Linked DNA regions of Arabidopsis thaliana. The protein of the gene in region 2 interacts with the protein of the main gene of each other region in a biochemical or structural test. Each region holds a gene or a part of one and is shown on either strand. Other genes may lie near its edges. The genes, in order: APG8A, NBR1, APG8H and ATG8C.

What was found.
Region 1: the proteins of NBR1 (region 2) and APG8A form a complex in vitro, tested with the Arabidopsis thaliana proteins (one study listed by BioGRID).
Region 3: the proteins of NBR1 (region 2) and APG8H form a complex in vitro, tested with the Arabidopsis thaliana proteins (one study listed by BioGRID).
Region 4: the proteins of NBR1 (region 2) and ATG8C form a complex in vitro, tested with the Arabidopsis thaliana proteins (one study listed by BioGRID).

What each region holds. Positions count from the first base shown.
Region 1 is NC_003075.7:11,653,747-11,660,966, forward strand, and holds APG8A (Ubiquitin-like superfamily protein), read left to right. Parts: upstream 1-1,866; 5' UTR 1,867-2,121; coding exon 2,122-2,203; intron 2,204-2,486; coding exon 2,487-2,542; intron 2,543-2,620; coding exon 2,621-2,673; intron 2,674-2,752; coding exon 2,753-2,871; intron 2,872-2,959; coding exon 2,960-3,063; 3' UTR 3,064-3,288; downstream 3,289-7,220. Other genes in the region: AT4G21970 (senescence regulator (Protein of unknown function, DUF584)), read left to right, coding at 1-360; APR3 (APS reductase 3), read right to left, coding at 3,538-4,564, 4,650-4,785, 4,872-5,006, 5,149-5,227; AT4G22000 (tyrosine sulfotransferase-like protein), read right to left, coding at 6,064-6,456. UniProt on the Arabidopsis thaliana protein: Ubiquitin-like modifier involved in autophagosomes formation. May mediate the delivery of the autophagosomes to the vacuole via the microtubule cytoskeleton.
Region 2 is NC_003075.7:12,736,239-12,745,316, forward strand, and holds NBR1 (ubiquitin-associated (UBA)/TS-N domain-containing protein / octicosapeptide/Phox/Bemp1 (PB1) domain-containing protein), read left to right. Parts: upstream 1-4,793; 5' UTR 4,794-4,952; coding exon 4,953-4,985; intron 4,986-5,343; coding exon 5,344-6,233; intron 6,234-6,322; coding exon 6,323-6,446; intron 6,447-6,549; coding exon 6,550-6,807; intron 6,808-6,984; coding exon 6,985-7,134; intron 7,135-7,226; coding exon 7,227-7,784; intron 7,785-7,862; coding exon 7,863-7,964; 3' UTR 7,965-8,432; downstream 8,433-9,078. Other genes in the region: MOS1 (modifier of snc1), read left to right, coding at 1-851, 933-1,161, 1,271-3,499; AT4G24700 (uncharacterized protein), read right to left, coding at 8,569-9,000. UniProt on the Arabidopsis thaliana protein: Autophagic substrate degraded in the vacuole by non-selective autophagy. Requires ATG8 protein expression to be recognized as an autophagic substrate. Acts probably as a receptor for autophagosomal degradation of ubiquitinated proteins.
Region 3 is NC_003074.8:5,271,852-5,279,097, reverse strand, and holds APG8H (Ubiquitin-like superfamily protein), read left to right. Parts: upstream 1-4,002; 5' UTR 4,003-4,097; coding exon 4,098-4,128; intron 4,129-4,222; coding exon 4,223-4,278; intron 4,279-4,438; coding exon 4,439-4,491; intron 4,492-4,727; coding exon 4,728-4,846; intron 4,847-4,934; coding exon 4,935-5,023; 3' UTR 5,024-5,224; coding exon of another isoform or gene 5,225-5,407; 3' UTR 5,408-5,572; downstream 5,573-7,246. Other genes in the region: AT3G15590 (Tetratricopeptide repeat (TPR)-like superfamily protein), read left to right, coding at 1,440-1,468, 1,627-2,179, 2,280-3,530; AT3G15578 (uncharacterized protein), read right to left, coding at 5,225-5,407. UniProt on the Arabidopsis thaliana protein: Ubiquitin-like modifier involved in autophagosomes formation. May mediate the delivery of the autophagosomes to the vacuole via the microtubule cytoskeleton.
Region 4 is NC_003070.9:22,929,807-22,937,096, forward strand, and holds ATG8C (Ubiquitin-like superfamily protein), read left to right. Parts: upstream 1-2,953; 5' UTR 2,954-3,279; intron 3,280-3,395; 5' UTR 3,396-3,409; coding exon 3,410-3,446; intron 3,447-3,646; coding exon 3,647-3,702; intron 3,703-3,788; coding exon 3,789-3,841; intron 3,842-4,084; coding exon 4,085-4,203; coding exon of another isoform or gene 4,204-4,223; exon of another isoform or gene 4,224-4,352; coding exon 4,353-4,447; 3' UTR 4,448-4,634; downstream 4,635-7,290. Other genes in the region: AT1G62045 (ankyrin repeat protein), read right to left, coding at 5,099-5,302; AT1G62050 (Ankyrin repeat family protein), read right to left, coding at 6,517-6,888. UniProt on the Arabidopsis thaliana protein: Ubiquitin-like modifier involved in autophagosomes formation. May mediate the delivery of the autophagosomes to the vacuole via the microtubule cytoskeleton.

The DNA.
Region 1 (7,220 bases), 1.1 Mb from region 2:
TCCTCATCTTCTGCGAGGTACATTCCTAAAGGCAACGAGGTCTCTGGAGGGGCAAAACAGTCATCTGCTCCAATGAATATTCCTGACTGGTCCAAGGTTTATGGGTATTCAAAGAAGAACACAAGCAGCCACTTGCATTCATGGGCCATTGACGATGATGATGAAGGCTCAATGGTTCCTCCACATGAGTTAGTAGCAAAAAGACTTGCAAGAACGCAGATCTCATCATTCTCTATGTGCGAAGGAATCGGAAGAACGCTCAAAGGAAGAGATCTCAGCAAAACAAGAAACGCTGTCTTAACAAGAACTGGTTTCTTGGAATCGAATATCACATCTTCATCAACAACATCACCACCATAGTTTTGGCATGGCATGGAGCATGGCTGGATGATCAATATCACATTCACACAAAACCCTTTTTAGCACCATACCATATCATTATCATGAAAAAAAAACCTAAAACCTTATGGTATCCACATGATTTTTATTAAATATCAATGTTATTGTCGTTATCACCATGTAGGGAATCATGACACTACCAATATGGTTGAGTTCTCTTTTTTTTTTTTTGTTGTTGTTGTTGTTGTTGTTGTTAGGTTTTTGGATTTTTTTAGATAAGTATGATGACGATGAGGATGACTTGTCAATCCCATGCATGGGCCCATACCATTTTTCTCATGTTATGTTTGTAGTTCTCAATGGTCTTTTAACTCTTTAGCAGTGCTTAGTGAGCTTAAATTATAGTTTAGCAAAACAAAATGGCATATACTTTGGAACCTTTGAATGTGAGAAATTTGAAAGCACTCTCGATCTCTTCACCATTTTGGCCTCGACCAAGAGAGAAAAATGTAGCGAATAATGTTAACATTTTTGGTCCGACACAAGGTTAAGGGGCTCGTTCCATATTGCTCACTACCTTTCACTTTTCAATGTTATATAGCAACTAGACATGGTGTTACTAGGGGAATGGGGTATATGTATCTGTTATCTATTTCGGTGTGTTGATTTAATTTTTTACTTCGTGTATTCTTGAACCAATCTGCAACTGAAAAAGTTGTATTTGAATTTGGATTAATTCGTTTCGTTGCTAAATATCCATTTCAAGATATACATAATAAATATATTAGTTAATTTACTATGGTAAGATATATTTTCAAGAATGAAGTTGTATAAATAAAAATACTTGTTTCGATAATTTTCAGTTTTATTCACGTCGGTACTATCTCACCCGTACTAAATTTGAATTGCCGACAAACAAAAAAAATGTCAAGTTCGGTTGGATTTTTTATTTTGTTTGGATCTACTCAATATATAAATAGTACCAATCACACTATAAACGAAATTTACTCATCTTTCCTTGGCCCTAGCAACGGTTCATGATAATCATTCTTTCTTTTTACAATTTACTTTTTCGAAATAAAAAATTGTAGTAAAATTACAGTTTCAACTAAAAAAAAATCTTGTACAGAGGTGCCACAAAAATGCAATTCAATTTTATATAAAAATACAACGACAACAAATTTGTTACTTTGTCAAAGCGGATTATTTGGCACGAAAAATTCGTGCGGAACCGCTACATATCATTTTTGTAAATAATTTTCTTCAAAATTGGCTCGTTTGAGTCATAAATAACACCTGATGACAAAAAAAAAAAAAAAATTTTTTTGTTACTTTGTAAACTTTTGCTAACCAAAGCCTATATAAAGGCCCAATTAGCCCAAAACGACACAAAAATGTGTGAAGAAATAAACAGATGGTGGTGACGTAAGACAAGTGTAAGAGATTTCTTGTAATCCAATCAACAAATAATAATAAACGAATTCCAAGTGGTTTACTTATTCCAGAAACAGTTCCGTGTAGGCAACCATTAGGAAAACCCTAACTAAATTCCATTATTAATTTCTTTTATAATCCCTTTCTCTTGACATTGACTTCTCTCTCTCGATTCTTCTTCTCCAGTTTCAATCAAACTCAATTTCTTCTCAACGAACCCTAATTTCCAACAAATCGGATTCAGTTTCTTCTTCGGGTATGTTTCTTCTCACCAATAAATTCGAGATCTTTTAGGGTTTTCTGGGTTTGTTTCTCCCCCGATCTAGCAGACGATCGAGTTTATTAATTATGATCTTTGCTTGCTTGAAATTCGCAGAGACTAATCGAATCGCAATGGCTAAGAGTTCCTTCAAGATCTCTAACCCTCTCGGTTTGTTTCTTCAAATCCCTTTCTCATCGAATTTTCAATTACTTGATTTTTTGTTGAGTTTCTGAATTCTGTTAAAACTTGCTTTAGATCGTGTATGGTTTTGATTTTGGAACTCAATTTTGATTGGTTTTGGGATCAGATTTAATCTCTGCATACGCTTTTGATTCTTCCTTTGTTGTTCGTTTCTCTGTTTTTGTTTCTAAGCCAAGCTGTGAGATTTTATAGATATCTCTGTTTAATGATGTACTTGTCATTAATCTTGTGGTTATGTTTTGTTAATCAGAGGCAAGGATGAGTGAATCTTCTCGAATCAGAGAGAAGTACCCTGACAGAATTCCCGTAAGCTTACAAATTCATGAGTTGATTAACTTCTTTTCACTAAATTTAGTCTAATTTAGAATCTTGGATTGTATGTAGGTGATTGTGGAGAAGGCTGGACAAAGTGATGTTCCTGACATTGACAAGAAGAAGTGAGTAATGGGTTTGCTTTATTTACTCTTTTTCTATATCATAATCTTGATAACTTATGTTTCTTCCACTTTCTTTTAGGTATCTTGTACCAGCTGATCTAACAGTGGGACAATTTGTATACGTGGTTCGTAAAAGAATCAAGCTTGGAGCTGAGAAAGCTATTTTTGTCTTTGTTAAGAACACATTGCCTCCAACTGGTAAGAGTTCTTAAACTCTTTAACACCATTCAGGATCAAAGTTTCTTTCTTTACCACTAACTTTGGTTTCACTTTTGTTTCTTAACAGCTGCATTGATGTCTGCGATCTATGAAGAACACAAAGATGAGGATGGGTTCCTCTACATGACTTACAGTGGAGAGAACACTTTTGGATCTCTTACCGTTGCTTGAATAAAAATCGATCTTTGGATGACTTTGATGTACATACATAAATCAGGAAGATAAAGATGTACATTGCTTCCTTCTTTTCTCTGGCTTTTAACTTTGCTTTGGATGTTTGGATATCTTTCCCTTTGGGTTTATTAATCGTCAGAAACTTCTCCTTTTCTTACTTTCCTCTTTTGCTTTTACTTAAATAACATTGATTTTGGGGCTAATGAGTAATGAGTCACTTTCATATCAAACTTGTTCATATCCATCACAAAGGCAAAAAAGGAGTAATACACTGAAAATTGGTAAAAATAAACTCACAAAAGGCAAAACCTTGGCGTAATTATTTTTAACCACAGCTATACAAAAGGCTAAAGCTCCAAATAGAGATTCTCATCTTCACCTTCTTCATCTGTTCTAGCAATCTGGAACGAGACTGGATGGTCTATTATTGATCTCTTCGTCATCGTAGAGTCGGCGGATTTTATTGCGGATTTACCGAACAAGATTCAAGAAAGATGTCAAAGAATCAACATCTCTCTTCTCTGATGGATACTTGATTGGTCTTGAAGAGTTCTTTGGGAACACAAGTATTGTTGGAAAGCTTCCAAGCTGCAACTCCTTTTTGGCAAAGTCCTTCTGGTCACCATCAGCTCTAAACTTAGCAACCTTCACACCACTTCCTCCCAGCTTATCCGCCAATTCATCGAATGAAGCTTCCATTGCCTGACAAAACGGGCACCACGGTGCATAAAGCACAACGATCCAAGCCTCTTTCCGGTTCTCTAACTTCATCAAATTCTCAATCCCTTGCCTGCTCAAGTTCACAACATTCTCGCTATTGAAGATATCCGCGACTGAGGCTGTCCCGTTGACATTAGCGGTTGCGTTTCCATTGGTATTCTCCTTGATATTCCCTTTGTGAAGGCCACACTCTTTAGCCTTAGCATCTTCCCACCACCATCTCCCTTCTCTCTCATGCTGACCCGGCAAAACCGCTCTCGTGCATGGCTCACATCCGATTGAAACATAACCCGCAGCGTGAAGCGTGTTGACAGGAACATCCATCGTCCTCAAGAAATTCCAAACATCATTCCCTTCAACATTAGCAACCGGATTCCACTTCACCAAACTACCAACTCCACCATCTAATCCTTCAAACACTGGATCAACCTGAACAACAGGAATCTCCGATCTTGTCCCGGGTGATTGATCTTTCCTCTGACCAGTGATCCAAGCACGTAAACCCTTCAACGCACGCCTCAAAGGTCTCACCTTTCTAATACGGCAACACTCCTGGTGACCATCTTCATAGAAAGAGAACAAACCCTTGTTCCTAACTAAAGCTTGAACCTCAACAGCATCAGGAAACATATACTCAATCCGAATACCGTAATGTTTCTCCACGGTATCGAAGAGTCTATATGTTTCTGGATTCAATCTCCCTGTATCCAAACTGAATACCCTATAAGGTCTTCCAGTTAAATGAGCATACTCAATCAGAGCAACATCTTCAGCTCCACTGAAACCAAACAAAACAACAAATCAGCAAACTAAAGGAAAACAAAAACATTCCTTTATTGTATTCTCATGATTCAATTCATTACCTAAAGGCAATAGCAATGTCATTCCCAAACTTCTCAAGAGCTTTATCCATGATCTCAAGAGGAGAAGCATTCTCTAATCTCTTTGCTAGTTCCTCAAAGTCTTCAACTTCCACCACATCTAGCTTCTCTGTAACCTCTGTTTTGTAATGAAGCACAAGATCATTAGCATAAACCTTAATCAAATTAACCAATGATCAATTGAAAAATCAAACCAGAACTTACCAGAAGCAACAATGGATTCCTTTGTAATTGATTGCACATTAAGAGCTTTCACGGAGGATCTCTTCCCGGACAAACTCAGAGAAGCCGCAGAGACATTGGTACGATTCAATAACCTCAATGATCCGATTTTTGTTACTGTATTGAAGAATCAAACAAACAAATTGAATAAGATTCGACATTGATCGAATTTGAACGAATTTAAAACCAAAACACAATGACCAATCAAGGCATTTCTAAGATTCTCCACGAATTTGGTATTGAAAATGAAATAAATTACCTTTGAGATCTGAAGAAGGGAAGCTAGAGCTTGAGATCGCAGAAGAAGAAGATGAAGAAACGTTGATTGCTAGTGCCATTTTCACTCCAAACCAAATCTCTCGAAACAATGTTCTTAAGTTTTTTTTATTTTTGTGTTGTGTTTTTTCTAATTTTGTGTTCTCTTAAGATTTGTTGAGAGAAATGGGATTATAAAAGAAGCAGCTGAAATTTAGGTTCATTGAACCTAGACGTCTTTTTTTAGGTGGCGGCATTTGCTTTTCTATATATCATTGCTTGCGTCACTTTGGTCGTGTGGCAGAGAAAACTAGTCAACTTTGGTCCAAGAATTCTTTTTTTTTCTATTAATGTAACATACACTTATCTCAAAAACATTTTACACGCTTAATTTTATTTTAGAGCTAACAAAAATAATCTAATAATAAATTAATCTAATTTGTAAAATATAAACATGGTGATATGTTTGATTATTAATTTTAGATAAATACTTTCTCGTGTATTCTTTCCTTAAAAATCCGAAAAAACGATCATATTTATAGAATTAACTAAATAAAAACAGTTGAGATTTTCTTTCACTGAGATTATTTTTCGTTTGTTACGATTCTATCATTTAGTTTAACTTATCAATTTATCTACAAAACCTATCGATCTCTTCATTTCTTCTAGAAATTGCACGAACCGATATTTCATAAACCATATTTTACAGTCAAAATTAGTCTTGGTTGAAAAACAAATTCCGATCCTAACCACAAACACTTTTGGGTTCTGTTAAAAACAAACATAAAAAAACATCATACAAAAGTATATCAGAAGCAAACTTGTGATCTTAAACCTTCCAAGATTTCATAAGATCAACAAACTAAATTATTCTTATTCATCAACCAAGTCTATAGTAATCATGATCTCAACAAATCAATTACTTGTCTTCTTTAGCTTTCTCTTCTTCCTTCATCTTCTTTTCCCACCTTCTCTTCTTATAATCAAGCAACATCTGAGGCATCTTCAACATAAGCTTCGCAGTGTTCTCTCTTTTCTCAGCTGAAATTCTATCACATTTATGCCCTTTCCTCTTTGTCCTCATAGCTTTCCTCTCTGGATCATAAGGCCAATCTTCTCCATTAGTCAACACTTCTTTCCTCAGCATAGCCCTCCTTCGTGCACTTATCCCTAACGGTTTCCATGCTCCCATCTCCCAATAACCCCACACACCTTTCGTCAACTCGGTTCTGTACTTATCGAGTTTCGCCCTCCATGGATGTTGAAACCCTGTCACTGTCTTTGCCACAGCTTCTGCAGCTTTTCCAGCCATAACTTCTGCATATGCCCAAAACCACAATTCTTTAAAGATGATAATATCTCATTGTAATCCAATTAGCTCACAATAAGTTAAGAAACCTATAAACTTGCTAGCTAAAAGCAGAGGAGATCAATTGAAGGAAGGTATTATATGATAGTGATGCATAGAAGCAAAAAGATACAAACTTTGAATCCAAAGAGAGATTTGGTGATGCATAGAAGCAAAAAGATACAAACTTTGAATCCAAAGAGAGATCATAGTGAGAGTGAACTTGACACAACATTTCTTACAAATCAAACGCAGATTGGTTGAAATGTTGTTAAAAGAAGAGTCTTTGGAGACTAATTCTTGATTTACTACGCAGAAATGTGATGCAAATGGATCTAAATCCTCTAAAATTAGGGTTTGATAAGCTCAACGCAAGGATTTAGTGACTGGGTTTCGTTAACTAAACATCATCACAATCGATTTCGATTCCAAATCTAAGCCTCTCGAGTACGGGAGCAACTAGGTTCATCAATCTCTTATAGCTTAATACGAATCTACTTAGAGATCGATACGAAACTTGGAATCGGAATGAGAGAAAGAACTTACATAAAATTGGAGATCGGAGACTGTGAGAGCAACTTTGAGAACGCGGCGCTGATGAAGAACGCAGACAAGGGTTGGGTTTTTTGGCGTTAGTAAACCCTTTTCCTATTTCTTTTTTGTTTTCTCACCCAAATTATTTGTAATTACTTAGTATAAATATTTTAAAAATCATGTATATTTCCAAA
Region 2 (9,078 bases):
ATGGGTCCTGGGGGTTTTCACATGGATCCTTTTCCATTTTATCCTACGCAAGTTCCACCTGCTCCTGGACATGGGGCTGGTCCTAGGGGTAATCACGCTAATAATGAAAGAATGTTCAGACCTCCAATGCTTGACTCTTATGTCCACCCAAGGATGCAGACTAGGCCTGGGTTTTATGTTGGTCCAGCGCCACACGAAGGCTACTATGGTCCTCCCATGGGGTATGGCAGTCCCAGCAACAGAGACCTACCTTTTGCAGGTAGGCCTACTGGTCCGCATGCTTATAACAATCATTCTGGTCAAGGTGGATATGATACGCCTGGAAGTTCAGTGTCTTTGGAACGGAACGAGTCATCACATTCTCAAGAAACACAAAGGCCATACAAGGTTCTCCTAAAGCACCAAGATGGGAGGTTTGGGGAAGATAATGCAAAGCGGGAAGAATTTCTTGGAAATAGGCTCCCGAATGCAGAGAAGATAGCTCAACAGATGCAAACTTCAAGAAACGAGAGGAGAGAAATCAGAAATGACGCAAGTGGTGAAGTACAACCAGTCAAAGCAGAACTTGCTGCCCCTGGAGATCCTAGTTTGATTCAGAAAATCGAGGGCTTAAATGCAAAAACTAGAACTAATGATGGTTGGCAAAATTCGTCATCTGTTGTTAATAGAGATGAGCAGGAAAGCCAACCACGTACACTCAATTCTGGGAACTCTGCAAATAAAGTTTCAGCCAGAAATCATCGAACTGGTCATGCAAGTGACAGTAAGAACTCATCACACTATAATCAAGGTGATTCTGCCACAAACAAGAATGCTGAACCCGCAGCTATGGGTGGAACTAGCATATTCAGGTCAGTTATCATTTTTCAATTGTGTTTCGGCCAGTTATGCCATCCTTTATGTCGGGAAAGTTTTGATGTTAGTACCTACAGGAGACCTACTCAACAGACTCAAGGCAGAGCAGATCCGCAGACCAAACGAATAGTGAACAGTGAAGGCAATGATGCTTGGCAGAAGACAACTGTTATGTCAGGCTCCTCCCATACAACTTTAGCTACAAACACAGAAAGCTTTCGCGAGGTTAATGTCGATGACTCTTTGGATACCGAGTCCATCAGGAGGCCTGGGTCGGGAATATCAGCAGACCCAAAGGATAACCAGGTATAAACTAGTTCATATGATTCTGGTTGTTATTTATACTTTTATGTATCTCTTGTTTGTAGTCATCCTTTTTTGGTTTGACTGAGTGTTTGCCATGTTCCCTTAAAAGCGTTCTACGATGAGAGAGTTAGCCAGGCAGCGTGCTCAACAGAGGCAGAAAGAGGAGGAAGAAAGAGCGAGAGATCAGCGGGCTAAGGCTCTTGCAAAACTAGAAGAGTTAAATAGACGTTCCCAAATATATGAGGAGGGTTCAGTTAAGAACATGGAAGCTGCATCTAATGCTTCTCCGGCTGACATGCCAACAGATCCTGGATCTCATTCATCTAATGCTACAAATTCCGTAGAACCTACTGGAGGATCAGGAAAAAACACAACGCAAAACACGAGGACTTCAACAGAATATGCAAATAATGTGGGCCCTTCCCAACAGGATAATCTTCCACGTGATGGCGGTGCCTCAAAACAGAAGCGCTTGGGTTATAAGCAGAAGCAAAATATTATATTTGAGAAAAAACCGACAGGGAGCTCTGTTGCTACTGCAGAGGTGTTTGATGTTGTCCCGTCTCCTGAGGTTGTTAATGAAGGTGTCTCAAGCAATAACTCAGACATGCCAGCGACGTCAACCGTTTCAGCTGAGTCAACTTTCCCGAAAAGAAAAAATAACAGGAATGGTAAGAAAAAACACAAGGCTGAGGAGACAGCAACTATGAATACTACAAGAGTTGCCGTTGGAAAAGAAACAAAATCGGGAGATGAGTCAATTGAGACTGCTAGGGCAAGGGCAGCTGAAATTGAGTTGGGGTCTGTTTCAGTTCCAAGCCTGGATATCAAAGTGTCTGGTGATTCGTCTGAACAAATCAGTTCCTTCACTAATGAAGAGTCTCAAAACAGAGCTAAAAACAACTGGAAATCTCAACATGTGCGTAGGACTCAAAGAAACTCACTGGTAAATAAGCCTGCAGAGAAATTTTCTGGCAACAATGCTGTTATTTGGGCTCCAGTACATCCACAGCAAAAAGCTGATGTTTCCACTGGTGGAGGGAGTCAGACTACTGTCCCTGAGTTTGGCACCTCTTCAAAAAGTCAGCATCAAGGACAGACTAGTTCTAAAAGCAAAAGAGTGGAAATTGAAAGATATGTACCGAAGCCTATAGTAAAGGAAATGGCTGAGCAAATCGTCAGTAAAAATCTAGTAACCTCTGCTCCAGATATGTCGGAGAATGTAAACCAGAAAGAAAATCGTGGAGGTGAGGGTACAGGAATTCTCCAACCTTCTGGTTCAACTGCAGGGAAATCTGGGTCTCCTTCAAAGTCAAGACATGGGAATGGTAGGCAGGGAAAGCATGGTAGAGAACATGCATCATGGCACCAGAGAGGTTCTGGAGCACCTACTAAAGCTTTGGAGGATGGACAATTTGTAACCTCAAATCAGCCCATCCGAGGAACAGTGAACTATCACTCTAGTAAGCAAACCGAACAAATTGCTGCCAAGGATCAAACCACATGTAATAAGGATGGATGGAACGATGGCTGGTATATGACTCCTGAAACGCATTACTCTGCTGCCGAAGAAATGGAATCCAGTGCTGTTGGAAAAGATCAAGGAATGAGCATGCACGGCAGGCAGCATGCTTCAAGAAGCAACAAGGATGGAGGAAGCAACTATGGTGACCCTAAAAAAGGCAATAAGAGGGATTTCAATAAAGCTCATACGCAGCACTCTGGCCATGGGTTTAGCCAACCAGATTTGCCTGCTGCTTCAAAAGAAGGTCGTGTCCCTGGAGATCATGTGTGGCATACAGCTAATAGGACAGGTAAGTATGGTGGTCGTGAAAGTACAAGGGACAAACCTTATGGATCTCAGGAAAAAAATGTTGTTGGATACGAGCATCAAGGGTTTACTACAGAACAAAAAACGACATCAGCTGATACACAAGCCCAGTTGCAAAACCGATCTACCAATAAGGAGGTCCAGGTTGAGCAAAATCCGAATAGTATGTTCCAAAAGAACACAGGGCAGGGTCGACGGTTTGGAAGAGGGCAGGAGTCACAAGGAGGTTGGGGTTTACCGGCGCAAGAGAATATGCACCATCACCATCAGAGGCCACCTTCAAACAGAGATAGACAGAAGCAAAATCTGCATTATGAATACAAACCTGTTGGGTCTCATACTTATGATGGAGAACGTAGTCGAGAACAATCGAAAGAGAGTTCTCAGACAGAAGGTCCAAGATACAGAGAGAAGGGACAGGGGCAGCAAAGGCAGGGTGGATACCAACAGCAAAGGGGTACTAGTGGGAGAAACGGTGGTCATGGATTCACTGGTGATAGAAACTAAGATTGGCCTCTTATTGTTATTTAGGTAGTAAGAGCTGCCATGCTGAGGATACTTGCATTTTGAGATATGGCGATTGAGGAAGCTAATTCGTAGGCACATAGCTTGGGAGATTGCTGAGAGGAGACCTATCCGAGGAGGTATTGGCAGATTAAAAAAAAAAAGTCTTTGTCTTGAGAGTTTATTATTATATGTTTCAGTCACTTGTTTGAATATGATTATAACTACTGTAGTAGCCTTTTGTATACACTAGATGAATACTCATGAGTATTTTTGTTTTTAAAGTTGCTTAAAAAAATATGATTATGTTTTTTGGTTGATTTTGATGTTCATTTTGATAAATTCCTATCTATTTAATATAATTTTTTTATTTTATGATTAGATTTATCTATAACTCGAAATATCAATTCTAGTATAATATATATATTTATATCTATTATTCTAATATTTTATTGTCATGATCACATATAAAAACAATATATGATATATTGATACAATGTATGCGTTTTGAAACTTGTCTAAATTAATTGTACAAACAATTATTTATTCCATATATTCTCTTGTCATCAACTACACAATCACATCATGATATGCTAGTAATTCAAGTCACACTTTAATTCTTTTCACTTGCATATAGCCATATAGAATCTCATATTTTTTTTTTTGTATGTCGAATGTCGAATGTCTCAAATGACTATTATATTATAAAATTGTATATCAATGTTACTAAGTTATTAGAACGCACCAAAATGTACAGAAAAAGTTCATATGATAAATTATATTCACAAAACGTAATAATAAGAAAATATCTAATTAAATTTACTAAATTTATATGAGGTTAGGTAGCAAACATAAGAGTTTTAAGAGTTTGGATTTTGGAATTGGTGGTGTTTGTTTCTCAAACTTCATAAATTAGAGTTTAAAATGTTTTTTTATTTTTTGTGGTCGGCATAAGAGTTGAAGTTTTAATAAAATAAAATAGTATCTGATCATTTTATTGGAGAAAACATAAAAGATGTAGTATTTTATAAGAACTCGAATTGGTCAATTTTCAAAATGTTAGTATGAAAAATAAAATATCTAGTTATATGTACTCGTATCTCTTGATATTTTTGGCTTTAACTTAGGGATGTTAGTTTGATTTGTCTTTCTGGATAAGCCAGTAGTAACCAAAAAAGTCAAAATCTTGTTGGCTAAGTCAGAAATTAATTAAATAAACAAAAGGGCCCATTAAATTAATTATTTTAATAAATATTCTGTGTAATGATATATAGTATAAAACGCGACCGTCTAAATTCTTGGTTGTTTACGAGAAAAGCGGATTACGGGTACGCTTCTTCTAAGATAAATCTCTCCCCGATTCTCTCTTTTTCTCGCTAGATACTCTTTTTCTTCAATTAGGGTTTCTTCTCGCTTGCCTTTTAATTCTCTCCAGCTGATCTGATCTCCGTTACCGATGGAGTCTACTGCTAACGCACTCGTCGTCAAGGTTAGAGATACAACCTTCCTTTCTTTATTTGCGAATCGTCAGTTTTCTCACAGTAATTGTCGGTGATTCTGGGTTTTCGTGGCGATCGTCTCGTTTCTGTTGATTTTGTTGCTTGTAATCGGTCCTTTCCTTTTGAATTTCGCTATGGATCGACTCTCTCTCTCTCTGTCTCTGTATTATAATCTTAAGTGTAATTCGAAAATTTTCCAGACATACTTAGCAGTATCTGCTTGAATCTTATACCCGAACAATGATTAAAACTATAAGTTATCGTAATTAGAATCGTAATCTATTTCTTCGACAATTTTTTTTCATTTTTTTCATTGAAGTGATACTAATTTTGTTTGTGATTATGTAGGTGAGCTATGGAGGTGTGCTTAGGCGTTTCAGGGTGCCTGTTAAAGCTAATGGACAGCTTGATCTTGAAATGGCTGGTCTTAAGGAAAAGATCGCTGCTCTCTTTAACCTCTCTGCGGATGCTGAATTGAGTCTGACTTACTCTGATGAGGATGGGGATGTGGTTGCCCTTGTTGATGACAACGATCTCTTTGATGTTACTAATCAGCGTCTTAAGTTCTTAAAGATCAATGTGAACGCTGGCGTGTCCACTAACTCTGCTGCTCCAGAGAGTAGTGGGAGTTCCACACCTGCGGGTATGCCTAACCCGGTTTCCAAAATCCAGAAGGGTATAAATGATGTTCTGATGGCTGTACCTAACCCGATGCGTGATACCATATCAAAGGTGTACATGGACCTTGCATCCAAGGCCTCAACTTCTAGTCCTGTAGTTGGTGAGATGCTTGATTGCATTTCCAAGCTAGGGCAGCTCTCAATTCCTCAGGAAAGTAGTCCTTGCTCACCTGTTACCAAGCCTGGTTCTTCAGGTGCTTCCCTGAGCAGGGATGTTCCTTCCGCTGGTGGAAAGAAGGATATCTCTGAGAGGACCCAGACCGGAAGGAAACCTGTTAATCTGAATGAACCCACTGGCGCTCATTCAAAGACTTCTGGTCATGTACCAAACTCGTCTGGACTGGGTGCTAATTTCAACGAGTGTCCCTTTAGTGGCAGTACCATGAATTACTCCTGTCCAAATCCAGTTAACCTCAACAAGCATCCTCGTCGTGTTTGTCATTCCAAAAAGAGCACCAATGGTGATTACTGGACTTCATTGGGTGTATTCCATAAGGGCATCCGTTGTGACGGATGTGGAGTTCTTCCAATTACTGGGCCTAGATTTAAGTCGAAAGTGTAAGGATGCCTTCTACTTACTACTTTAGAAACTATAAACATGCTAGAACTTATTGTGCTTATATGTTTCGCTTGTGAATATTGTGCAGTAAAGAAGACTATGATCTGTGCACCATCTGCTATTCGGTGATGGGTAACGAGGGGGATTACACAAGAATGGATAAGCCTGTATCCGTTCAACATCTGCATCCTTTTAGAGGACCGTTTACCCAAGTATTGCTCTTCTTCTAAGTTTATAATTACTTTTCTTCTTGTTTATTCTATGTGTCTTCTCTGATAGCTATGAGGAATTCTTACCCTTTTTTTTTTGGTATAGTTTCCTAATCCTTGGTTGAGCCACCCTGTGCCACGAGCAACCAATGGAGGTGCACCTCTCAGGTGTACTCGCCCTAAACTAGACAGTCGGTTTGTCCTTGATGTGAATGTAATTGATGGAACCGTTGTTGCTCCATCCGCCCCATTTACTAAGATTTGGAAAATGAGGAACAGTGGTTCGCTGGTGTGGCCACAGGGCACACAGATTGTCTGGATCGGTGGGGACAGGTTCTGCAACTCCTTGTCAGTTGATTTACAGGTTAGAAACAATTTCCTTAGTTTTCACTCTTTTAGCTCGATTCTTACCACTAACAGAGCAATTATGTTGTTTGAATTTACACTCGATGGCTTGAGTTAGGTTGTTTTCTTCACGAAGTGACTATAGCTGCTTGATTATATAATACTAACTGTTTTTTTCTCTCTTTACACATGGCAGATTCCAAAGGAGGGTGTGCCTATCTATAGTGAACTTGACGTCAAAGTTGATTTTGTTGCACCAGAGTTACCTGGTCGATACATTTCTTATTGGAGGATGGCTACCTCTGACGGTGCTAAGTTTGGGCAACGTGTTTGGGTGTTGATACATGTACTTACTAGATTTGTGCAGCTTCTGTCCTTTAATTCTTTGTCTCTTTCTATCATATGTGTTTGATACATTTTTTCTTTTTGCATGGTTAGGTTGATGCATCTCTGAAGAATTCTGTTGTGAATGAGTTTCATGGACTGAACCTTAATGCCTCCCCCTCCCTTGATGAGAATTTTCCAAGCGAATTTCTAGGGATTATGAATTATGAGTCAGCTCAACCTGGCAGCTCCAGTGTCAATCCTGGGACCGTGAAAGGTACTGATCTAGAGGGCGAAGTTGGTGAAACACAGGCCGTGGAAAAAGAAAACCTTTTGGTTGGTGAAGCTCATCCTGCTATCCCTCACGGTCATTCTCCTTCATCTTCATCTTCTTCATTTAACATGGTCGACTTCCCAAGCATGCCTGCTGTTGAGGTCTTGTCTGGTGGTTCTTCATCTACTACAAAAGACGTGCCAGTTCCTCTTCAGGAGGATATAGAAAAGAATGACGTGGAGATAACCATGCTCAAGGAGCTCGAGGAAATGGGTTTCAAGGAGATAGATTTGAACAAGGAGATCTTGAGGGATAACGAGTACAACCTGGAGCAGTCTGTTGATGCTCTTTGTGGAGTTAGCGAGTGGGATCCAATCCTAGAGGAGCTTCAGGAGATGGTAAGTGTGTCTGCACTTGGTGAATTTATTAAATCTTACTTTGCAGATTGGAATGTTGAAAATATTGTGATTTTGCAGGGCTTCTGTGATGATGTGACGAACAAGAGACTGCTGAAGAAGAACAATGGAAGCATCAAAGGCGTGGTAATGGATCTCCTCACAGGGGAGAAGGAGGCTTGATGAGCTCTTTGGTTTCTGGCAACTCTTCTCTATCTCTCTTATCTATCAGGAATAATTATGTTTTATAAATAAAACCTGATCTCTTAGTTTGGTTTCGTGCTGCGTCACATGGTCTGTTCCTTTGCTTTGTGTTGGGATGATGTTACTATGTTAACTCTATCTAAGACATGGATGGTTTCTTTCTTATTTCAGTTTAGTTTATGTCGTTCTGCTCCTCGGGTCAAATGAATGGTTGAGTCTTTTTTATTGATTTCATCACTTTAGGCCTTTTTGGTCTCCATTTCTCAGCTGTATTTGGCTTAATGTGAGTTTGTGAGAAGAGCTTTCCTTGAAACAACGTACTGTTTTAATTCACATTTACCCTCTCATCTCTCTCAATCAGGTGACATTTTCACGTGGTCGAATCATCGGCATGGCAGTTGCAATTAGTCATGGTGGTCGGCTTCATTAAACTGTTTACAACTGACAAAACTTTGTTATTCTATCCATAGAAACCATTCAAAAACCAATAAAAGTTTTTGAATAGACCAATAAAAGACATTCATAATTGATTTCACTTTTTGAGAAAAATTTACAAGTTTGAAGTAGTAACATGATGAGTTTGTTAGAATCTCTTTGAAGACGAACGAGTGAACAAACTCCTAAGGCTGTTTCTGCTGTCTCTAGTTTTCTTCTTCTTCATCTTCTTGAGGCCATCATTATCTGAAGAAGAGAAGGTTTGTTCTTCTAAAGTGAGTTCGCGTTCCAGTTTCTTAGAGACCGAAAGAATCTCGTAGGGATCCCACAGCGACTGTCCGAATTCCCAATCCAAAAACGACGGATGATGCTTTGCGGACAAGGCTTCCGTTTTGAAACGTGATGCCTTCCCTTTGACAAAAGCATGCTTTCTCTGCGCATCGAACTCTAAAACAGTATGTTTTGAGGTTTGGGAGTGGCTGAGCCAAGCCTGCGCAGCTGCCTTCATCAACTCTAGTCTCTTCTTCTTCTCCTCTTCTTCTTCTTCATTTTCATCTTTAGCCTCTCGTTTCTTCCTCATCTCTCTTCTTCTTCTTCTCCATTTTGGGACTTTTGGGGATCCAAGTCTTATTATGTAAGGTTTAATGTCAGCCTTAAG
Region 3 (7,246 bases), on a different chromosome or scaffold from region 2:
TTGAAAATTTATAAGTTAAATTCAAGTTTAGATATACCTAGTTTCAATATAGATATACATTTTAGTTTCGTATAATTTAATGGTAGAAATCAGCATAGATATACCTAATTTGAAAATAGATATACCTTTTAGTCTCTAAAATATCTAAGTTATATTCGAACATAGATATACCTAGTTTAAATATAGATATACTTTTTAGTTTCATATAATTTAAAGGTAGAAATCAGCATAGATATACCTAATTTATACATAGATATATTGTTTAGTCTCTAAAATATGTAAGTTATATTCGAACATAGATATACCTAGTTTTTAGTTTCGAAAATTTCTAAGTTAGATTCAAAATAGATATACTCAATTTATGCATAGATATACTAATTTATACATAGATATACTTTTTAAAATTTCTAAGTTACAATATCAACAAAGATATACCAAATTCATACATAGTTATACTTTTCTAATTGTGTAAAGTTTAAAGTTCATACCGCTCTATCGTCGTTAGAGATTGAATTTGTTGCTTCAGAATCCACTTCAACAGCCGACGCTACTACTACTTCGTCATTGATTGTCTGTGAAACCACCACCTCCGCCGCGGACGCCACCGCCAACGGCACACATGCGTTCTTTGTTCGAGCCATTTCTCCAAACCTACAAACAAAATCATTTGGATTAGCACTACTCTTCAATCAATTTCGATCACAAAACCCAATCTGAAACAACTCGAATCAAATCGACGAACAGTTAAATCACTTACCCCAATTTCTTAGTTTCCTGTAGATATACCAAGATCGACGAACAGTTATATTGTTGTCGTTGACGAGAATTGAGAATGATTTTACTGGATTTTACAGTGAAGAAATAAAGAAGAAACAAAGGAAAAGAGATGTGAATCGATTTTACCGCAGAGAATTAGGGGAATTAGGGTTTTATTTGGATTTGACCCGAAAACAGTGGACTTGGATTATTTTAGGATCCATTTGCCCTGGTTGGGTTGTAATTAAGCAATATTCTTAGGGTTTTCTGAGTAATTTACTTCGTTTACGGAATAAAAAAAATCAAAAACAAATTTTTATAAAAAGAGTATATGAGATTACTCTTCAACCAAGAGGAGCCGCTGAGAATTTGGTCCCCTTGGCACGTATAAACCCTAGCAGAGACATTAAACCCTGAAAGTAATTAGGGATCACTGTTCTCCGGCTCCGGCGAAAAAATCCCTCGAAATCGTAATTCTCTCATACGTCTCCATTTCTGGGTTTAGCGTTTCAGCAGCTTCCATTTCAGATTCTGAAATTCACCGAATTTTCTCTGTCTTTTGTGTTTATTCTACTAGAAGATTCTTACGGCTTGTTAAAATGATTGTTGATACTATCACTGTCGACTCTTATTTGTGTTGTGTTGCTTTTCAGGATCCTAACCTCAATTGATTGAAGGAAGTTATGTATTCGCTTTCGAGGATTCTCCAAAGGTAAAAAGCTTTCTAATTTATAAATTTTGGTTTTTTTTTTCAATTTTTAGAGCTCTTGTGTGTGGTTTAGCAGCAAGCAAATTAGATCTTCTCTTATGGGGTTTGTTATGATTTATTTGAATTGAAAGTTTTATTTTTTACTTGATTGTGTCATTTAGGAGTCAAAGATATAACTTTGCACCTTCTTCGTTTGGTGCGGTCAGTAAATTAGAAGTATCAAGTGGTGGTGATAAAGAACGGGTCTTTAAATCATTTGGATTGATTTATAGCAAACCTCAAGGTTTAGTCAGACTTTATTCCGCAAGAGATGTGTTTTCACGGTTCTTTGGCATCCACAAGCTTTCTTCTATAGCTGATGCTAAAGATAAAGGAGATGAGGTAGTTAGGGAAGAGGAGCTGTCTGAATCAGAGGAGGCGGTTCCTGTTTCTGGGGATGTACCAGAGGGAGTTGTTGATGATGATTCTTTGTTCGAGCCTGAACTTGGTAGTGACAATGATGATCTTGAAATTGAAGAGAAGCATTCGAAAGATGGTGGGAAACCAACTAAGAAAAGAGGTCAATCTGAGCTGTACGAATCCATTGTTGCTTATAAATCAGTGAAACATGTTCTTGAAAAATGGGTCAAAGAAGGAAAAGATTTGAGTCAAGCTGAGGTTACTCTTGCTATACACAATCTGCGTAAACGCAAATCCTATGCTATGTGTTTGCAGGTAAATATGTTCTCATTTTACACTTTGCCAAATCTTTTATTGTTCTGTCTCTATCACCCTCTTAATGTGTATGTCTTTGCTTGGGCTTTGGCATTTGCAGTTGTGGGAGTGGTTGGGAGCTAATACGCAGTTTGAGTTCACAGAGGCAAATTATGCTTCTCAGTTGGATTTGGTGGCCAAGGTACATAGTTTACAAAAAGCTGAAATCTTTTTGAAAGATATTCCAGAATCTTCTAGGGGAGAAGTAGTATACAGAACCCTGCTGGCAAATTGTGTACTTAAGCATCATGTAAATAAAGCTGAAGACATTTTCAACAAAATGAAAGAGCTAAAATTTCCAACAAGTGTGTTTGCTTGCAACCAGCTGCTTCTCCTCTACAGTATGCATGATAGAAAGAAGATAAGTGATGTTTTGTTGCTAATGGAGAGAGAAAACATCAAGCCGAGTCGTGCTACCTATCATTTTTTAATCAATAGTAAAGGTTTAGCCGGAGACATAACTGGAATGGAGAAGATCGTGGAGACAATTAAGGAAGAAGGCATCGAACTAGATCCTGAACTGCAGTCTATTCTGGCTAAGTACTACATAAGAGCGGGGCTTAAAGAAAGAGCACAAGACCTTATGAAGGAGATAGAAGGGAAAGGTTTGCAACAAACTCCATGGGTGTGCCGGTCATTACTCCCACTTTATGCAGACATAGGAGACAGTGACAATGTGAGAAGACTGAGTAGGTTTGTTGATCAAAATCCGAGATACGATAATTGCATTTCTGCCATTAAAGCATGGGGAAAGCTGAAGGAAGTCGAAGAAGCAGAGGCAGTGTTTGAGAGACTTGTGGAGAAATACAAAATTTTCCCTATGATGCCATATTTTGCCCTCATGGAGATATACACAGAGAACAAGATGCTAGCAAAAGGCAGAGATCTGGTTAAAAGAATGGGAAATGCAGGGATTGCGATTGGGCCGTCGACATGGCACGCGCTTGTGAAGCTATACATCAAAGCAGGAGAAGTTGGAAAAGCTGAGTTGATATTGAACAGAGCTACAAAGGATAATAAGATGAGACCTATGTTCACTACTTACATGGCGATTCTTGAAGAATATGCAAAAAGAGGCGATGTTCATAACACAGAGAAGGTATTCATGAAAATGAAAAGGGCAAGCTATGCAGCTCAGCTTATGCAGTATGAAACCGTGCTCCTGGCTTATATCAACGCCAAAACTCCTGCTTACGGGATGATTGAGAGGATGAAGGCAGACAATGTGTTCCCGAACAAGAGTCTAGCTGCGAAACTGGCTCAGGTTAATCCGTTTAAAAAGTGTCCAGTGTCTGTTTTACTTGACATATAACGATAATCATCTTATGTATTGAGCTGTTAAGTGTTTGTTCTGGTTGCTTCCAAGCTAGGAAATAATAAACAGAGGATTCGTTTTTCTTCCAAAGTTTCTCATTTTTGAGTTTGTGTTCCTGTGGTTTTTTGTAAGTGACATAAACTGGAATAAAATTGAACTGGACTAGAGGTACGTGGAAAAAATTATCGAACCGAAGCAAAAACTAGACTAGTAGAAATTGGAAGACGAAACCGAGAAGTTGAACCGTAAATAAATAAACACATCAGAGCCGACATGAACCGGGTTGGGTATATCCAATGACGTGGGACCCAGCAGATTATAAGAGAATTGAAAAATACAAAAATGCGGTGAGCGTGGATCGAACACGCGACCTTCAGATCTTCAGTCTGACGCTCTCCCAACTGAGCTATCCCCGCTTTGTTGTTACCTTAACGATACGTCAAATAATTAATCTCTAGTTTAAATTTCTATTTTCTCAATTATTCCTTTTGACTTCGCCGCTTGCTTTTGAGAGACGGAGACAAAAACACACACGACGAAGAAATCTCCGGGCGGTCGAAGAAGATGAAATCGTTCAAGGAACAATACACGTTGGGTTCGTTTCTATCTCAAGATCGATCACCGTTCTCTAATTGTTCTCTGGTTGATTAAAAACGAAAGTAATCAATAACCTTATCTCTTATCTGCAGATGAAAGGCTCGCGGAGTCGCGGGAGATAATCGCTAAGTACCCTACTCGGATTCCAGTAAGTATATATCCAGCTCAATTCTAATTCCTTTTCAAATTGATTCCTCCGATCTCTTCAATTATCCGATGTACCCGAGAAGATGATTTTGTTTGTTTATGTTCAATGACAATGAACTTCTAAACCTGGAAATTTTTCTGAGAATTGGATAATTTTGTAGGTAATTGCTGAGAAGTATTGCAAAACGGATCTGCCTGCCATCGAGAAAAAGAAGTAAAAATTTCTCATCTTAAGATTTTGATGATCTCGTCTTGCCTAGCTTATGACTTGTTTGATTACCAAAATCATCTTTGGTTCAATTTATGCTTTACTGAAAGCTAATTTATCCTATAACTTCAAAGATTCATACACATTTTTAGGAGTTAAATAGCTGATTTAGTTTCAAAGTTATCACTTTTGATTTGAATAAGTGGTTTCAATATGATCTGAGAGTTGTCTTTGAATGTTAGGTTTCTGGTTCCAAGAGATATGTCAGTTGGCCAATTCATCTACATATTGAGTGCTAGGTTACATTTGTCTCCTGGTAAAGCCTTATTCGTGTTTGTCAACAACACTCTCCCTCAAACTGGTGAGTTTCTGCTTCAATTGGGTTTTGCTTCTAGGCTTTTTCTAGGAATAGTTTGTTTGATGTCTTCTGTGTTTCCTTTTCTCTGCAGCTGCTCTGATGGACTCGGTCTACGAATCTTACAAAGATGATGATGGATTCGTTTACATGTGCTATAGCAGTGAGAAAACCTTTGGTTGATCCAATAATGATGTTAGTGTCTGTGTACATATACTTTAAACATAAGATGTTCACTACATCAAAAGACATCAAACACTTGTTAAGCTTTATATGACTGCTGCTTGTTTTATCCTTAGACTTTGTTCATCTGTGCACAATCGTTCTACTACAGTCTCAGTTCCAACTAGTATTTCCCCTTAACGCTCTCTTTGTCATCATTGTTTATCTTCCTGAAAATGCAAAAGACCAATGGATTGTTTTACTAGGGGAAGAGTTTTGTGCTTCCTCTCCAGCAAGCACCACGAAGTGGCCACCAACCGGCAAATAGTTCTGGCTACTTTTGGTATCTTTATTAGATTCTGGTTCAGGCTCTGGGCTACAAACATAAGAAATAAGACTTGACATTGTAAAGGTAAAACACTAAACAAAAACTTGGAAGAATATAGAGGAAACAGTGTGGAAGAGTATACACATGTATTGTCTGTCTGATATCTGGATAATCTTTCCAAGTATAGAGTTAACATATTCGCAATTTCTGATGGTAAATGCCTAGTGTTTATATATTTGTATTGTGGCTATTTTTTCTGTTCTTACACCTTTTCTGGCTTCTAATTACATAATGGCTTGTGCATTCAAGAACTCCAATCTTCTTTTAAGAAAATAGAGGCTCTTCTTCTGAACAAAGGTATACTTTTCATTACCATCAAAAGCCAACATAATCAAATGTGCTTGCATCCTTCAAATGTCTCAAGGCAGAAAATTTTGGTGACAAATTCCAAAACCATGAACGGTTTTCAGTGCTTTCAAATGTGTGCCCAAAAGGTATAAGCTTTGTTCTGAAACCTCTGGAGAGAAGAAGAAAAACCAGCCTTGTCTAGAGGTTGGAGTTATTTAGCTCTTGATTTACATAAAAGATGAGTGAATATAACTTTATGTCAAGGAAAGTAAAAAAAAAAAACAAAGAACAGCCAAACCCATATCTGTAAATGGGCCTTTAATGGGCTAAACCGGTTGGTATGATTTCGCACTCGTGATGTGATGTGATAATGAATGTGCAATGGGAATAAAAAAGAAAAGGAAGAGAGAATCTTATTTTTGGCATGTACGTATGGTTGTGAATTGTGATAATACAACCGGCATATGGTCATGATATTCTAAAACGGGACCATTCATTGTCGTCTTATTTACAAATCACATGGAGAGAAGGATATTACAAAATATCGAAACAGAGAGACTATGATTTATTTGTCTTCTTCGAAATATTGGTTTTTTTTAGCTAAATGCATAGAAGCTTATCTAGTTAGTCTCTTTCCACGGTCAAAATTGTAGTCGTTCGTGAATGTACTTCGTGTGTTATGATTTATGAAAAAATCTATACAAAACAGTTACTGTTTGAAAATGTGTCAAACGAAATGATCCTTTTTAGGTAATTCTTATCTTAGACGACCAAAACCAAATTAAACCATAATGATGGAGTTTAGTTTACAGTCAGAATCAAAACTAAGAATGTAACTAAAAATCGTTCACTGTATATAGTAATTAATTGGTTAACACTAGAATACAAATGCCATTTAGCATCTCAGAGTAAGACAATGACAAGTCTATGCATTAATTTCATTCTCTTTGTCATATATATAAGGTAAAATATCTCTATAATTGTTTTTAATATACAAGGCAAATCAAGGGAAATTGTCTTCATCCTTCTCTTATCCCTATCTTCCTCCACAACCTCTCAATCCTCTCACATTAGGATTATCTCTAATCAAAACCGTAGCACATATTTAGATCATTATACATATATTCTTATTCAGCTGAATTCATAATACAGAGTAAAATCTATGCTACATAATGGATAATCTTCAATACATCTTTGCATATTCATATCATTCTAGTAACCCTCAATTTTTAATTTCTTTTTAATCAAACGATGTTTTAGCATACATATATTTTATTTTTTTTGCATGGAACCTATATAAATTTGAATCCGAAAATATAATAAAATACTTTTTCATGTAGTCATTTTTTTTTTTTTTAATAGTCAATAATTCTATCTGAACGAAATATTTTTTTTTCAATTTTAAATCAGAAAAAATGTTACGATTTGATTGTCGGTCACTATTAGGCAGCTACAATGTATCAATAAATATTATGTTTATCAATTTTTCACGAAAATGAAATCTAACTAATTCGTTCGTTAGTTTCTAAAAATCGCAAAACTTTTTGAAATTCTGTGGAAGTCATGAT
Region 4 (7,290 bases), on a different chromosome or scaffold from region 2:
TCTTTTTTCTTGTTACTATCCTAACTTCAGAGCCTGCAGAAGATAAACATGAAAACAAAACTACTTAAAAAAAACTCTTTAAAATAATTTTAAATTGTCCTTCTCTTTTAGAAAACTAATTAATAAAATTATATAGAAATATAACATAAGTAAGAGCGTGATCCTCGACGATAGACATTGATAATACCTCATCTCTGTAAATATAAAACTATGCATAAGAGAATTGATATAGATTCATACCTTGATTGATCACATCAACTAACATAGAATCTTTAAACTATTTAAACGCGTGATATTGGCACGGCTCAATCAAATAAACCGATCTTTAAAACAAAAGAGTACGGTTTTCTGATTGAACCGCACCAATATCTCGTATTTGATGTCCGATAGTGCGCTCATCGACTCTTCAGTTGCTTATTACACCAAACTCCATCCACATATTAAAGAAAAACAAAACAAAAGGAAACCAAATAAGTCAAAGCAAGTAAATGATTGGAACAAATTGATAGGTAAGTTACTAGAGACAGGTACTTACCGTTAAACCAGTTTAGAAAACACGGTTCTTTTTTTAGCAGATATGAAAATGAGAAAGAGACAACATGAGCTATTTCAATGTTTTTTCTTGGGTTTGCAGAGTGAAGGAGATATAAATACGAAGAGGGTGATGAAGAAATGACAGAGGAAAACAAGCATTGAATTAGGCCAACAACCCCCACAACAAAAAGGAAGTTGGTTGTATTAAATTTGAAAAATATGTTTGTTTAAGAAATAGTGAAATACTTTTCGAAATAATAAATATCAAACAAAATATTTAGGTCGTCCGTTACAAAAAAAAAACAAAAAAAAAAACATTGAACCACTTTTAAGAATTTCATGATGATTGCTTGCTAGTTCTTGTTTATTAAAAAGTCCATAAGAAACAGCTAAACCATTATAGACGTTTCTCTCTTAAAAAAAAAACAAAATATACGACAAAATATATCATAATGATTTTCTTATAAGCCATGAAAAAGTTACTATTTTGTGATGGATATTCTCTTTGAGTCTATGATTACAAATTTATCGCATACTTCTAACACAAAAAAATACGTCACAATTTTTGTTAGGTGGAAAACGTGAGAATGTGTTAAAAATACGTTATTTTTGCGATTTTAGTTTTCATTTGTTTAACTTTATTTATAATTGGATTCCATCCTCATGAAACTTGTGAGGCAATATTTATAAATAATATTATTACATCTTGCATCTTGCATGTATTATGAATTATATATATGCTCTTGATCTCTCTCCTGACCTACGTAACGCCTCGACGGGGAAATCGGAACAATAACTACATGATATGTTCATGCATAAGCTTGCTTGGTCTACGCATTGTTCTTAAATCTGTTTGATGTCACTATGTCACACATGACACGTCCATATCTTTGATTTACTATTTTAACTCTAAAACGTTAACATAGAAGTTGAAAAAGTAGTCAGTTGATATTTGATAAGAAAAACAGCATTTATAAATCTCATAACGATATTCAAGAGGAACGTAAAATTTACTCAATTAGGTAGCTTTCATCTCCAAGTATATACACATGGGTCTATGAATAGTGCATGTACATGTAGTATATGTACATGTGACTTTTTATGTAGAGAGGTTTGTAGAATAAAATGAAATAAAGGAACAAGGAATGCCATAGAGCTTTCAAAATCGGTATTTATGAGGACTTGTATGAGAGACAAAGGCATGTTGGTGGGCTCTGCTACTCCCAACATCTATTTGAATTTTGAAACTAATTTGGTGGTTTCATTTTTGAAATACATCTATACTTCCCTCTTAATTTTACCTAGTAAAGTTTCTAGGCCTGGGATTTCGGCTAAACCCGAGGAAATCGAATGTTTCGGTTCTCGGCGCAGAGAGATAAAGAGAAGGCAAACCGTTCGGCAAAAATAATATTGTGATTCGGATTACGGTTCGGTTCGGTTCGGCAAGCTAAACCGATCGGTTTTCTCGGTTTAGAGGTACACCCTATAAAATAGAAGAAACCCTAGATCTATGTCAACAATTCATGTCGTCTCCTTCCTTTTCTAATCTTAAACTCTTCTCCTCAAGATCCTTCTTTGATCTTCTTCTCCTTCTTCAGTCTTCTTCTTCTTCGTTCTCAGCTTATCATATTCGTTTACTGCTGTGAAACCAACACTCTCTGGCATCAATCCAATTTTTTTTTTTTTCTCACCGCCGCGACATCAAATCTCTCGTCTAGTTGCCGGTGGTGGCAAACATAGACATCTGCACTATGTAGGAATTACAGATCTAGTCAAGCCGCTAATTATTCTTTCTTTCCCTTTGAAAGTCGGACGCGCATGAGTGAACGGCGTCTCCGTCACCGTCATCATTCTTCACTTGTCAAAAACCTAGATTTCAGATGGGCTTGGGCATGTTGTTTATTTTGGACTTGGACTTTTATTAGATTTAGCCCATTATTAATTTATTATTGTTGGTTTATAATTGTAAATTTAATAATTGAGCCCATAATTTTAATTTTGGTCTAATTCGGTTTGAATTAACCGATTTAGAAAAAGGGTCGGTTTAGTTCGGAATTGATTTTAATCCCTGTAACCGAACCGAAAAAACCGAGTACCAAACCGACCCGAACCGAAATTTAATTCGGTCCAATTCGGCAGAATTTTTAAAACCCCAAAAACCGATTTAACCGACCCGATTAAACCGACAAAACCGAACTCCCAGGCCTAAAAGTTTCTATGAAAATCCACTACTAAATTAAAAAAAAAAAAAAGAAAAGGAAAGACAAATGTTAAATTGCATCAACCAATAAAAATAAAGTTTTTGTTTTCACATTTTCTGTACCAAGCATATTAAAGTGTAGACTTTAAATGGTTGCATGCGACCTAATTCGTAAACAAAAAAAAAATCGTATAAATTTTTTGTTTTGTATCTTGTAAAATAAAATAAATCAACCAAATTAATGAGTCAAGACAAAAAAGTTCAACGAGAACCGAATGTTATTCTAAACCAAACCATAATCCGGTACAAATTTCCGGTTCTGCAGCAGGACAAATGGCAACAAAGGAAAGTAACGATGATAAGTTTGATCGAAAGTTTCAGACTTCAATAAGTTTTCAGTTTCGTGCATAGATTAGGAATCTCGAAACCCTAATTCTGTTTTCTACACGAAACCCATCAAAATCGAATTTTGATCGTTTCTAATTTCTGCCATTTGATTCTCTTCATCAGTCACATTTAGGGGAAACGAGAAGCCCTAATCTTTGGTATGTTGCTCCCTCTGATTTCGCAGTTTCTGGGTTTTTGTTTTCCTCTGCGAAATCCCTAATTGAATATCAGATTTCATAGATTGTGTTGATTGATTTTGGTGTTTTAATTTCAGATTCTTTAATCGCCATGGCTAATAGCTCTTTCAAGTTGGAACACCCACTAGGTAAAAACTAAAACTTTCTGGGTTTTGTTAGTGGATCACTAGAAATTATGGATCTTTGATTGTTACCCTTTTAAAAGAGACGATTTTGAATGGATTGTTAGAGACTTTGATATACGATCGATCAAATCTCTTATGTTTCTAATGATTGATCAGTTCACTGATGTTCTTTCACCATTATTTGGGGGTTTTGGTAATGGCAGAGAGGAGACAAATTGAATCTTCTCGCATCAGGGAGAAGTATCCAGACAGAATTCCAGTAATGTTTTCCAGCATTTATGTACCTCTCTGTGTAAATTCTTGCATGTAGCTTTGCTTTTGTAACAGAGGTAGTTCATGGTGTAGGTGATCGTAGAGAGAGCTGAAAGAAGTGATGTTCCCAATATCGACAAGAAGAAGTGAGTAATGAGTAGTGATATTCTGTTCCTGCTGTTCTTTCTTGTTGGCAACTTATGAGTTCTACACATCTTTTGTTTACTTGATAATCTAACAAGAAAGAGTGTGCCTTGCTTTGAACATTATCTTGAAGAACTTTATCTATGTGTAGTATTACGGAATGAGATTGATCTTCTATTGAAGACTAAAAGAGTCTTATATCAGGGAAATGTGTTGATCTGTGACTCTTTGGTTGTTGGATTCAGGTACCTTGTTCCAGCTGATCTAACTGTTGGGCAATTTGTGTATGTTGTCCGTAAAAGAATCAAGCTGAGTGCCGAAAAGGCTATCTTCGTCTTTGTGAAGAACACATTGCCTCCAACTGGTAAACACACAACTTCTTAGCATAAAAGCTGGTTTATGTTAATTTCGCTCTCATGAAATCCGCTGCTAACTTAGTACTGTAATCTACGCATACACTTCTCTGCAAATTCGAAACAATGATAAAAGATTTCTTTATTGATGTTTTTGCAGCTGCAATGATGTCTGCAATCTATGATGAGAACAAAGACGAAGATGGGTTTCTCTACATGACTTACAGTGGAGAGAACACCTTTGGTTTGGTTTAAATGTGTGCCTTCCAATGCTTTTGTGCTGATGTGTATATTATATGCTCTTTTATAACACTATGAATATGCAAAAGTTATATGTACTACTATTAATGTAAATGTTGCTTTGAATTTAAGTTGTTAGTTTGGGTTTTACTTTTGGACACACAACTTGTGTCATCCAACTATTATTAATTCTCTTTTACCATTTTTTGATCATCTATTAATATTTAGGCAATATATTTGTGGTAAAAAAGACATCTACTAAATAAGTAGTGTATCTTTGGTGTTATTTAAAATGAATTAAGTTCTCTTACAATGTCATTCATGTTTTTGCAAACACTGAGGTTGAATTTGACTATCTGGATTCTGGTGCGTACATGTTTTTTTTTTTTTTTAGTTAGCAAATCTAGTGTGACGTGTGTGGTAAACAATTTGTGAGAAAAGAAACAACTAATGATAAGCGAGGCCGCGTTGCCTACATGTTATTAAAATATTAAACCATGTCGTAAAGAACAAAAGACTTTCGATCGTGGGATGCACCAAAACGCATTAACTCATATGAAAGACAAAACAAATAAAAATAAATAAATAGATTGATAGATAAATTGAGATCTTAGGAAGAAACAATTTCTTCCAAAACATCGAAATTTAATGATTCTTTCTTATCTTTCAAGAATCAGAGTCTTTCTTCTTCTTATGGACAAGATTCTTCATCCACTTAAAACTTACGAAATCAACAATCTTGGCTGATTTGGTTTGGCCAGAGTTCTTACCGCCGGCATCTTTCTTGCTTTTGGTGTTGTCTTCCTCCGGCATCTCCCCGATCCCTCCGGTTCCCCATTGATCTGCCCAACTCGGTGCTTCACTTGCCATATTGCGATATCTTTTCGCAAACTAAATAGAAAATCATAGTTAGATATCAAAATGAATTCTTCAACCAATCAAAAGAAACATAATAAAAACATCTAGAGATACAAATTATTCGTTTTTTCATATTGGATCAAAACATGACTTACGTTCATAACTAAGAAAATAGAAGAGAAAAGAAAAATTACCTGTAATGTTTTGAGAGGTCTTCTTTGGAGGAGAAAGACGATTTTGATTTAGCAAAATGAGTGCCAACGCGGAGAATGGAGACAAATAGTAGATGTGTTGTTCTTTTCTTTATTAGACAAAGTGTAAAATATTGTAGTTTATGTTGTCTTTTTTTTTTTTTTTTTTTTTATCTTTAGATTTGTTAATGTGTAAGATATTTTTTTTTTAGGTTGTCTTTGAATGCACTTTATTAACTCAAGTTTGTTCGTTTCCGACTTGCGAAGCAAACATTGTTTTGGAATATTTAGGTATAAAGCATATGATATTGGTCGTGATTTAAGCCATCTAATTATGTCCCATTCCATGTGACAGATCTATCTTATGTTCTTTAGATTTACAGCTAAAAAGACTTTATTTTCACATAAATCTTATGCAATTCTAAGTGTTCTATTATGTATGTACTATATATTATTAACTTCAACTTCTAGTCTCTTAAGGACTCTCATTAGGTAATTCATAGGTTTTGTAGCTTTGTCAAGTTATTTAAATCGGATATACAAAGCCAGCTTGGAATGGAATGTAATCCAAAACGTCTAAAATGTGTCTTATGTAACCTAAAGCAGAACACTCAGTGATTGCTTTATCAAAAGTCATTAGTTCGAAGTTTAGTACAGAATACTATAACGAATATTAAAGCAACAAAAAAAAGTAAAAAATTGCTATAAAAAAAAAGTATTATTGTATCTAGAAAAGTTAATACAACCACCAATGTTGATCCATAAATAAAGGAAAGCATGAACAAATAGTTATTTTTCTTTTTATGCAATTTTATTTTTACTTTAGTTGGTGCTTCTATCTGAAAGCTTTTATTATTGAACTCTTTTAGACCATGACCGACGAAAAGAGTAAAAACGACAGCATTTTAATCATATGAAAAAATATAAATGTATAGTAAAGAAATACTACAACCAGCTTCTCTGTATTTTACTAATATCAGATTATCTACACTAAAAGAGGACTTGATTCGTATCTTTAATACCTCAAAGAAGATACTACTTAGTTCTCTTAGTAGACTTTGATTTCTTCATTTTACTACTATTACCTGACTTACTATTACTACTACTCATGCTTGTCCATTTATACCCAATTGGTATAGCGAATGGGTCCGGCGTTTGTTGCTCCTCCTCTTCTACCCGTCGATGTGAGCCTTTTCCGGTGGCTAGTCTCAGCCACGTCGATGGCCGTGAAATCGAATTTCGAGCATCGGGTTTCTCGCCATCGGAATGGTCTTCTTCACCCGCGGTGGCGGAGTAGAGGAATCTTGGGCTTGAGAGCGGCGTGTAGAATGTCTCCGCCGGCGGAAGCTCGACAAACTTGGTGAATGTGATGACTACTTTGACCGTAGGGACCACCGGAATAGACAGCTGGATCCCACAAGAAAGATTTTGTTTAGCATAAAGAAAGCAACAAATTTCATAATCATCTAAAGAATTTGACTTGGGTATTTAAAAAGCACAATTCCCCAAAATTAGAGATCTATAGAAGTGAAAAAAAAAGCATGGGTCCCTAAAAAAGCTAAAGCTTTGGTTCCTCCGTGACCCGTCCGTGATCTTGTCACGTCAGCGTTCCATTGACGAGACTAGCCAATGAGAACTTGACTCGTAAGTTGGTTTGACCCATTAGGTATAACGGTCGTAATGTTTTAGGCTTAGGAAGAACCCAAAAAGAGTAACAAACGGAAAAAGTGATTTACTGGTTTTAATAACAATCTGGGACAATTAAAAATAATGCTAACAAAATCTATCTTAAATTAGCCTAACTCTTTC